Drosophila melanogaster: one gene and its partner. The protein of the gene in region 1 interacts with the protein of each later gene in a biochemical or structural test. Each region holds a gene or a part of one and is shown on either strand. Other genes may lie near its edges.

Region 1 (6,789 bases):
CAAAGTGAAATTAGATGCCGAGGGAAACACAAGTGTGGTATGCAGTTATCTTAAGCCCGCACATATTTTACAATTGTGGCTTATAAATGGAGCTATAATAATTGAAGCTTAAATTTAATAAATACATATTTTCATTTCTCAATCCCATACAGATGCCGGAAATGTTCGAGCTCCACAATAATGCGACCATTGGTGAATTGAAGCAAAAACTGGAGGTAAAAGTAGGTCTTCCCTTGGCTCGCCTAAACGTACAGAGTTTTCACAAGTCTCTGGAAAACGATGAGTTTATTACAAATTTGCTCAGAATTCCGGATAAAAGCGATTATACTTATCCGTCGACAACGCTTAATGGTACAGCCTTTTCGCTGTACCACGAAAATTCCTTTGTAGGATTTCTCCAATTCTATACAATTCCAGAGGGCAAGAGCCAACTGGATTTCCTTAACATGCCGAAGAGCTCTATGCTTCTGCCAGTGGACAGGCTTCCGCAGTTTTGCGAGGCTTCGAACTCGCAAGATTCCTCCGCATCCAGTGCGTCGAACCAGACGAACGCCAGCTTCGAATCCGCAAGCACGAGCGCCAGCTCCGTAGCGCGAAAGACGAGAGTGTGCGCCTCCGATGAGGAATCGGCTGCCAAAAGGTGTGTGTTGTGTGTAATAACTATATATGTAAATGATAGGGATACCCAACTGATTCATTCACAGAATACGAAGCAACCAAGAGAACAGCGTGGTCAAGGTGGTTCCGCAGCAGAATCTGCTCGCGGACAAACGAGCCGGCAGCATGGCTTCCATATTTGGTTCGAAGATCCACCTGATGAACTGCTGCAAGACGGAGACCAGCCGCACAAGCTGCTCAGTGGAGCAGGCCGAGGAGTGCAAGGAGAGGAAGAAGGACTGCTGCACGCCAAAGAATTGTCGCAAGAGGGATACTCGGCCGCCGTATGCGAACACAATGCCCGAGAACCGACGTTACGCCTTGGTGATAACTAACCAGAGTTCGTGCTCGGATGGTGTGGACACTATCGCCCTAATGGAGCACTTTCATTCAATATTCGAGGACAGTGGATCGAGCGTCAGCGATCTCAATTTTAGTGAGTGTGCCTCAACGCAGACATTCGACTGCAACATGCTGGTGGTCTGCGAGGATAACGAAACGGCCCAATGGGTCATCGAAGCAGTCGAAGGTGTGGAGCCGCCCCACTCCTGCCAGCCCTTCATTAAGTTCTTCGATCTAGTGAGGACGACCTTTGTCCTGCCCTTGGTCAGTCCGAATAAGTCGCTCTGTGTGATCTTCGCATTACTGGAGTCACAGAACCCGGGCTTGAATACCGACAGATGGGCCGTCGTTAATCGCTCCACTTTGGACTGCCAAGACGTGGAGAGGCAGGTCGCTCAATTCTGCGACAACGTCCTTATTGAGGTGTATATCGATGAGGATAGCAGGGATTTCATCGCCGACCGGTGTTCCAAATTGCGATACTGTTTCTGGCAACTTAAATTCGATTTTATATAGGACTTTTTGGGCTTTCCAAATTCACTGTTAACTTGTTAAGATACTCCTCAATTGCAGAGAGTATTTACTAAATAGAAATAGTAAAATTTTATGAAGTGTACGAATGAATAAATGTTGTTATAAATTGAATTTTTCCTGCATATATCGAGCATATAGGCCACAAGCAATTTATACTATATTACATATTTATTTATTATTAAATACGTACATTTCAACACTTTTTATAAAAAATACAGGAGGAAAAAAAGCGCGGCAAAGTCGAAAATGGAGTGACCGCACACTCGGCCCGTCCGCGAATTGGTGACTTCGCGCGTTGGTCACACTCGCGAATCCAGTGCCCACAGGCAGAAGCAAAGAAAACCACCACCCGAGGATTAGCGGACAGGAGACTGCCTCTCGGCAGCAGCAGCATTAGCAGCAGCAGCAGCCATTCCACATGGAGCCCATTGACATTGCGCGTCTGGAGGAGGCGGTCGTGTCGTTCTACCGCTCGAACTCGCAGAACCAGGCGATCACCCATGAATGGCTTACCGATGCGGAGGCCAGTCCACAGGCCTGGCAGTTTTCCTGGCAGCTAATGCAGCTCGGCAAGGTGAGTACCACGCAGGACCTGCGCATCAATGCATCAATTACCCGGATATGTATACTCATGCACCTACCGCCCACCCAATCACCCCACCGCCCACACAGAGTCAGGAGGTGCAGTTCTTCGGCGCCATCACGCTGCACTCCAAGCTTATGAAGCACTGGCACGAAGTGCCGCCAGAGAATCGCGAGGAGTTAAAGCAAAAGATACTCGAATCCATCGTTCGCTTCGCTGGCGGACCGAAGATCGTCCTCAATCGGTTGTGCATCTCGCTGGGCGCTTACATCGTTCACATGCTGGGCGAATGGCCCGGCGCCATCGAGGAGGTGATCAACACGTTTCAGAATCAACGGATGCCAAATGTCAGCGCCGATGTGCAATTGTGGATCATGCTGGAGGTGCTGACCGCCATTCCCGAGGAAGCGCAGGTCATACATACGTCTGTCAAGCGGGTTGTTCTGCGCGCCGAGATCGCCAAGCGAGTGCAGTTGGTCATTCACACCGTTGAGCGATATCTGAAGCTGCAAATGAACCGCGTGTGGGATGCCGAGGCGTACAGTAACATGAACAGGGCCGTTAAGTGCGTCGGCACCTGGATCAAGTGAGTATTCAATTTACAAAATTATTCTTTACACGTTCTAAGTGAGTTTCCAACTTGGACAGAAACATCGGCTACACCATTGAGGGCTGCGTCACCATCACCGCCGTGCTCCTGGAAGTGGTGCACAAGTGCTATTGGCCCTGCATACACGCCGGCGACGGCTGCATGACCGCCGATGAGAACGAACTGGCCGAGTCCTGTCTGAAGACCATGGTGAACATTATCATCCAGCCAGACTGCCACAACTATCCAAAGACGGCATTTGTGCTTATAAAAATGTTCCTGGACTCGCTATCCGAAATCACAAAGACGGAATGGAAGAGGGAGAACGACAACGAGGACATTATCGTACATATCTACATGCTGTTCGTCTCTTCGGTGGAGCGACATTCGACGCTGTTGCTCAGCGGCATCACGTCCGCGGATCCGGAATTGTCTATCCTAGTGCATCGCATCGTGCAGGAGATTCTCCACTGCACGGACAAGCCGGGCATTTACCCGGTGGAGGAGTCCTGCAGCACAATGGCCTTGGCGTTTTGGTATATGCTGCAAGACGAAGTGTTCGCCATGTCTAACGATGAGCAGAAACACAAGTGCTGGGAGTACATCAAACCATTGTACGCCCATCTAACCAGGATTTTAGTAAGAAAGTCAGAGCAGCCAGACGAAAAGTCGCTCGCCAAGTGGAGCTCCGATGATTTGGAATGCTTTAGGTGCTACAGACAGGATATATCCGATACCTTTGTGAGTGGTTGCAACAGTTGGAGTGTCTCCAAATCGAAAGGATTGGCTACCGTTTTCAACTATTAACAAACAGGCATAATATAGCATTTATTTTATTTATTTTAGATGTATTGCTATGATGTGTTGAATGACTATATCTTGGAGATTCTGGCTGCCATGTTGGACGAGGCCATTGCCGATCTGCAAAGACATCCCACACACTGGACAAAGCTGGAGGCGTGCATCTATTCCTTTCAGTCGGTGGCCGAGCACTTTGGTGGCGAGGAGAAGCGGCAAATACCACGGCTGATGCGCGTGCTGGCCGAGATTCCCTACGAGAAGCTCAATGTCAAGCTACTGGGCACTGCGCTAGAGACAATGGGCTCCTATTGCAATTGGCTGATGGAGAATCCGGCGTACATTCCGCCAGCCATTAACCTACTGGTGCGCGGCCTCAACTCCTCAATGTCAGCACAGGCGACGCTCGGCCTGAAGGAGCTGTGTCGCGATTGTCAGCTGCAGCTGAAGCCGTATGCGGATCCGCTCCTAAACGCATGCCACGCTTCCCTAAACACGGGCCGCATGAAGAACTCCGATTCGGTGAGGCTTATGTTCAGCATCGGTAAGCTAATGAGCCTGCTGCGGCCAGAGGAAATACCCAAATACTTGGATATTATCGTCAGTCCCTGCTTCGAGGAGCTACAGGCCATTTGCCAGGCAGATTCGGTGAGTAAATATAAATATAAAATATATAAAGAGATCAGTTGCTAACCATTTCTTTTGTTGCACTAGAAAACTCCCGCTGCTCGAATTCGCACAATCTTCCGGCTCAATATGATCTCCACTCTCTTCTCCTCGCTAAACACGGATGTGGACGAGCAGGCGACGGACCAACCGATTGTGCAGCCAGTTCTGCTCGTCATGCAGCGCACGATGCCCATCTTCAAGAGAATCGCCGAGATGTGGGTGGAGGAGATCGATGTCCTAGAGGTAAGGCAATAAACACAAAATTTTGCATATTTTTAATAAAATGTTATCGTATTCATATAGGCCGCTTGCAGTGCGATGAAGCATGCGATAACGAATTTAAGGAGCAGCTTCCAGCCAATGCTGCAGGATCTTTGTCTCTTCATTGTTGCCAGCTTTCAGACCCGATGCTGCGCTCCTACTCTAGAAATATCCAAAACGGTGAGCCTTACCAATATATTGCAAATGACTGAGTGATCTAATAGAATCCTTTGTTTCAGGCCATTGTTATGTTCTTTAAGGACGAAGGCTGCAAGCCGCTGATGCAGCAACTTCTGAGGGAGTTCATCCAACACAGCTTTAAGCTATTTGAGAGCACTCCCGAGCAGAACTTCTCCAACATTTCGGACACCATGGAAACCTTCTTCGGCTGTCTGACGCAGATCATTAAGAAAATCCCTCAAGTTTTGGAGGACAAGACACTGGCCTACGATCGTCTGGTCTTTTACGCCCAGCGTGGAATGACTTTGCCGGAGAGTGGTGCCATCCGAAATAGCATACAGTTTCTTACCCACTTTGTGATGCAGTCGCGTAACCATGCTCATGTCACAGAAGTTGTCCTGGCCACCGGCGAGCAGACGCTGTACACGGCGATGATGTGCGTGGGCTACCTAACGCCGCGGTCGCAGGTGGATAAGTTTGCAGACATCCTTCTTGCCATGAACAGAAAATATGCCGCCGAGATGGCCGTCTGGATGAAGTCCCTAATGTCCACTCCCAATTTCCCCACACAGCTCATAACCGACGCGGATAAAACGCGCTACACTGCTCTAATAATCAAGTGAGAGGCGTTACTTATATATAGATCCTTAAAGATTGTATTAATTTTATAAATTTTTTCACAGGGAAAAGGTCAACAAGAGGTTATTGCAACAACATTTGTCGGAAATGGCAATGAAGACCCGAGGACTTACAGAAAAGTTCCAGTGAAATGAGTGTATGCAATAAGTGGCCAAATGACATCTTTATCCATCCGGATTTTGATCTAGTTTCTATAATTGTATTTAGTTTGTATTTAAATAGGCCGTCAGCTCTGTAAATTGTCTCCAATTTTAACTTAAGTTCAAAAGTTCTCGACTTGATAAACTTTTATTTATAATTTTTACAAAATTACATGCTCCATTTACAATTTGCACATATATATTGTTTTAAGGGTGTATAACTCATTTTTCATTTATTGTTTTCACTTTTAGTAAATGTTTTATAGTTTTTGTTTTTCCCATATATATATATATGTTTAATTCTTATGTTGAAAAGTTTGATTTTCACCGTTTCCTGTATGAAAAAATCTGCCTTTCTAAGAATTACTTTCCCTTTACCTCTCCACCCATATTATTGTTTTGCAATTTTCCACATTGTGTATGTATCTATAATGCCAAAAATATGTAAATACATCTCTTTATATAATATATATATATATATATATATTTGTGTCTATAGCTAAACTGAAGCCTTTCGTTTTTGGCGTGTACAGCACTTGGTAGTGGTAGCAAAACTCTTTTGATCTGCTTCGTCGCCTTTGTCTAGATTCTAGATTAGTTGAGAGTATCTGCATAAATCCTTGTCTAACGGACCCGGTAATGACTTGACTATGGAACTAAACGACTGGTTGACACGGATCCAAAATTACAGTTTAACATATAGATATAGATTAACGTATAGAAGTAGACGCTACGACCAGCAATTTGTCCCAGTCTGTTGTGGTGACGTTGTAAGGATGCTTATAGGTTATCAACTGTGCTTGGTGGACCAGAAATTGGCACATCTCTATTCCTTGGCGGTCCGCAGGATCATCCACGGCCAGTCCAGGACAAACAAAAATGCCTAATTCCTTTTGATCGGTGTTCAGGAACACGGTTCTCCGCACATATATATATATATATATTTCTATATTTAATAGGTAGTACATACAAAAATACACTCACGCACATACATACCACAATTTATGTGTCCTGCTGGGCGATTTGTTTCATATAAATATATTATGGGTATGCTGCTCTAACTGCTAGGCTAAATAGCGTACAATATTTGCAAATTTGAGTCGTGGAGTAGTAAACATGTTTTATATAGTATGTGTGTATAATAGTGGCATGTGGCATGAATGTCTGGATGTCATATAGCTATCTATGTATGCATGTGGCAGAAATCGGGGGATATATATGTACTCAATCAAGGTGGTAAACGCCTACGCCTTAAGTTAGACAATTCAAATTCAACTGTACAATTATATTCACGCGTTTACTGAAATGGTAAGAGCATAGTTGTGATACCAGATTATTGCACAATTAGATCTAATTGATAGGGCTATAGCTAAAGCAACGCTAGCAGCAACATGCAT
Region 2 (3,742 bases), on another chromosome or scaffold:
GTTGAGCTGGGAGACGGATGACGAGGATGGTGCCGAGATGGCATTACTGCCCGATGCGGCACACTGACGCAGCAGCAACCGGCAGACCCGACGCCACAAAAGGCAGACCGACAAGTGCAGCAGCAGGTTGACGAGGTGGTATCCAAACGGCTCAAGTGCATGCAGCAAGTAGTTGAAGCGGAACGTCAGCACGGTGAGTGGGCGATAAGACTTGTGGGACTGCTCCTTGCGCATCGGCGTCCCCCAGAAGTCGTTCAGGAAAACGTTGATCAGCGGAGTGTGCGGCCTCAGATCCTTGTTGTCCCTGATTGCGCTGATGTCATCGAAAACAAGCCCGCACTGAGTACTGTTGTAATAGCAGACTATGCAGGCTACGCATATACACAGGAACTCGAGCAGGTTGCGCTGCGGCGAGTTTGTGGCTCCTTCCCGCTCCCGTTCCCTCGGCAAAGTGGAGGGTGCATACTGATGGATTCCGGGGTTGGGGTTCGTTGACATGTTGATTTCGCGTTACTTCGTGAAAGGCGTCATGTACCCACAATTGTTCGTTCAGGCGGCGAAATGTTGCATGTAGGGCTTTACCCAGCCACGGTCGGCAGGTCCCTAGATGGCCTGGAAAAAAATGAGAAAGTGGGAAAACCATTAGTTTAAGTTAACTGGAAACTAATTAAGTATACAAGTCCACCAATTTAAGTATAGACACTTCCTATTAGTGAGAAAGCCCCTAAATGTAGGCAACATACATATCTATATATTTTTTTTGAAAGGGGATTCCCCCGAGCAACAAAATTGTGCAGTAATGTATATGTAAGCCCTCGCATCTTTTCTGGATACACACCCAAATCCTCTTACTTTCCATAGTCCTTCATCCGCAACTTACCGATTTTCCCCCAAGTCAAAGTCTTTTTAAAGACAAACTTTCTACCGCTTTTTATGAGCACTTGAAGTTATACAAAGAAGCAAAAACTGATTGCGGAAAAAATCAATTAATACGCAACAAAGTAACTCCTTCCCGGTTACTGTCCTGGTTACCGACTGCACACACAAAAGCCCGAAGTTAACAAAGTTGTAACCCGGGCGGACCGACAGAGCTCCGGATCCGGACTTTGGGTACGCACAAGTACAAGTATGCGGACGGAGAGCGCTTTTAGAGAGGCGAAGAGCGCGTGAGAGATTTGTTTGCATAAACTGTTGTAAATGTTGCGGGACCTGGAGCATTACTAGGCGGGGCACATCGGTGGGCAGATGGGCGGATGCCACAATGTTGCACTCAATGCCATCGATTTTCCGGGCGTTCAGTCAAAACAAACCACCACAAGCGAAGTAAGCGCTCGTAAAGAGCGAAAAAAGGGGCCTAGCTTCAACGGGAGCTGGAGAGGATTGCATCTCAGCTGAGCGCAACTTTGTTGCACGACCGACTTTTCCCGAAGGACGACCGGGCGGGCACGTGCTCCGTTTACCCTTATTCCATTTTCCCGCCAAGAGCGACACATGCGCGGTCCCGCATCCTTGCACTTTCACTTGCCAGGACGTGCGCTCTCCGTGCTCATGGCTCTCCCGCTCGCCGAGCGCAAATTAATGGCCGTGTGTGTTTTTGTAAAATTACTTTGACCGAGATACGGGGCACTGGAGAAGGATAAGGACATGGCGATGGCTATGGGCGCTGGAACCGGAGAGCCAGCCGCATGTCCTCTCCCATTTTAGTGACATGGACGCCATTACAACGGCGATGGCCTCGCACACGCACACAATCACACGGCCGCAAACAAACCCGATTTGCCAACTTTGTTTCAATTCGCCAATAATTACAATGTTGCCCAGCGAGTTTCGAGCACCGTTTAACAGATGGGTTCTCACACACCGCCCTGTCGTTCACATACTTGTTGAGGTAGTTCCATGGCATCCAAAACTGAATTACATTTTAATAAAAATCAGTGCCAAATGCGCGACTTGTACGTGGATTATTGTTGTGTTATCGATACGCCGATAGGCTGGCTTCTCTTCCTCATCCCTGCCAGCCATTCGCAGCGAACACTTATCGATACGCGGTGATAGTTATTCCGTGTGTTTTCCCATCTCTAACGCGTTGTAGTAAAGGAAAAAGAGTGGGAAACCAAAAATTGATATTTTTCTGAAAGTCTTTCAAAGTTACGCTTTAAACTAGAAGCAATCATGTCCACGGAGGACTTTTACCTACGCTACTACGTCGGACACAAGGGCAAGTTCGGGCACGAATTCTTGGAGTTCGAGTTCCGGCCGGATGGCAAGCTGCGGTACGCCAACAACTCCAACTACAAGAACGACACCATGATCCGCAAGGAGGCCTTCGTCCACCAGTCCGTGATGGAAGAACTGAAGCGAATCATCATCGACTCGGAGATCATGCAGGAGGACGATCTGCCCTGGCCGCCACCAGATCGCGTGGGTCGACAGGTCGGTTTGCCGCACTCCGTAACTAGAGCTCAACTAAACAACCATGTGTCTTTTTCAGGAACTGGAGATCGTCATCGGAGACGAGCACATCTCGTTCACCACCTCGAAAACGGGATCATTGGTGGACGTGAACCGGTCAAAAGATCCCGAGGGCCTGCGATGCTTTTACTACCTGGTGCAGGATCTCAAGTGCCTGGTCTTCTCACTCATCGGCCTGCATTTCAAGATCAAGCCCATATAAGCCGTAGCCACCACCTCAAGCATAGCCTATTTATCGGACGGACACATCGTATTTTATAATGGAACTTCTACGATACTTGTAATTGTATAAGCTATACCTTTGTACTTTTTGGTACAGTTTGCAGTGAATAAAAAAGGATTGGAAGATACTTTGTTTTCAAAGTCTTGTGTACAGTCTAGATTGTGCTATAGAAGTAAATAGCAAATCTTCGATGTAGTAGCAGACAACAAGTTTAACAATAATAGCAAACACAATAGTAAACCATTTAACTTTTGATGTTATAATGTGTAGGTATATTTGAAAAATACAATTTAATATCTATTGTGTTTGAATAATATACATACTCGAGATAAAAATTTAAAGTCCTTTACATTTGTACAATTCGTATATGTCTAAAACAGCTTAAGCTAAGTGATTAATATCTCACAAACTGGCAAATTGTCTTAACGTTTAAGTACAAGCAGTAACTTAGCCTAAGATAATGATCGGTATCTTAAGAAACTGGAATAAAATACGCACTCACATACGGTTTTGAGACTTGCAAAGGGTTTGGCTTACATATGCTACTAAATTCAGTCTTTGGGGTGAGTACTTTGCTAACGAAAGTACAAACTAAGGGCCTGCAGGCGATGCAACACTATAGAAAGCTCTTATAGAGCCGAATGCGTAGGTCTCAGAGTCATAATTGTGGCTGCTGATGCAGCGCCAAAGTGGCTGAGATATTGTTACTGGGTCGCTCCAAATAGCTGCCATGTCCTGGCACGGGCATTGACATTGGCATCTCAAGATGCTGGTGGTGGTGATTCAGCTGCGCTTGCTGTAGATGCTGCTGCGGAAGTTGCTGCTGGTGGGAGAGTTGTGCCTTCAGGAGACTGGGAGATGCCTGCAGCGGAGTGTTGCTGGACACACCGACGCTACTGCCGCCAGGACTGGGACCACCCTCCTTCAGCGGAACGCCGATAGTGAGACGCACATGAAGACCAGACTCCTTGATGAGATTCACTACATCGCCGTGCGACATGCCAGCTATCTCGATGCGGTTTACTGCCACTATGCGATCGCCCACCT

Evidence for each region.
Region 2: the proteins of cdm (region 1) and mago are reported together in a solved structure, tested with the Drosophila melanogaster proteins (one study listed by BioGRID).

What each region holds. Positions count from the first base shown.
Region 1 is NT_033777.3:18,178,509-18,185,297, reverse strand, and holds cdm (cadmus), read left to right. Parts: upstream 1-1,818; 5' UTR 1,819-1,951; coding exon 1,952-2,107; intron 2,108-2,205; coding exon 2,206-2,702; intron 2,703-2,764; coding exon 2,765-3,446; intron 3,447-3,551; coding exon 3,552-4,151; intron 4,152-4,217; coding exon 4,218-4,415; intron 4,416-4,475; coding exon 4,476-4,613; intron 4,614-4,672; coding exon 4,673-5,232; intron 5,233-5,248; exon of another isoform or gene 5,249-5,296; coding exon 5,297-5,381; 3' UTR 5,382-6,023; downstream 6,024-6,789. Other genes in the region: CG7208 (uncharacterized protein), read left to right, coding at 153-640, 705-1,515.
Region 2 is NT_033778.4:21,126,522-21,130,263, forward strand, and holds mago (mago nashi), read left to right. Parts: upstream 1-2,055; 5' UTR 2,056-2,172; coding exon 2,173-2,433; intron 2,434-2,491; coding exon 2,492-2,674; 3' UTR 2,675-3,216; downstream 3,217-3,742. Other genes in the region: Tmtc3 (transmembrane O-mannosyltransferase targeting cadherins 3), read right to left, coding at 1-498; magi, read right to left, coding at 3,354-3,742. UniProt on the Drosophila melanogaster protein: Core component of the splicing-dependent multiprotein exon junction complex (EJC) deposited at splice junctions on mRNAs. Involved in exon definition of genes containing long introns, including the rolled/MAPK gene.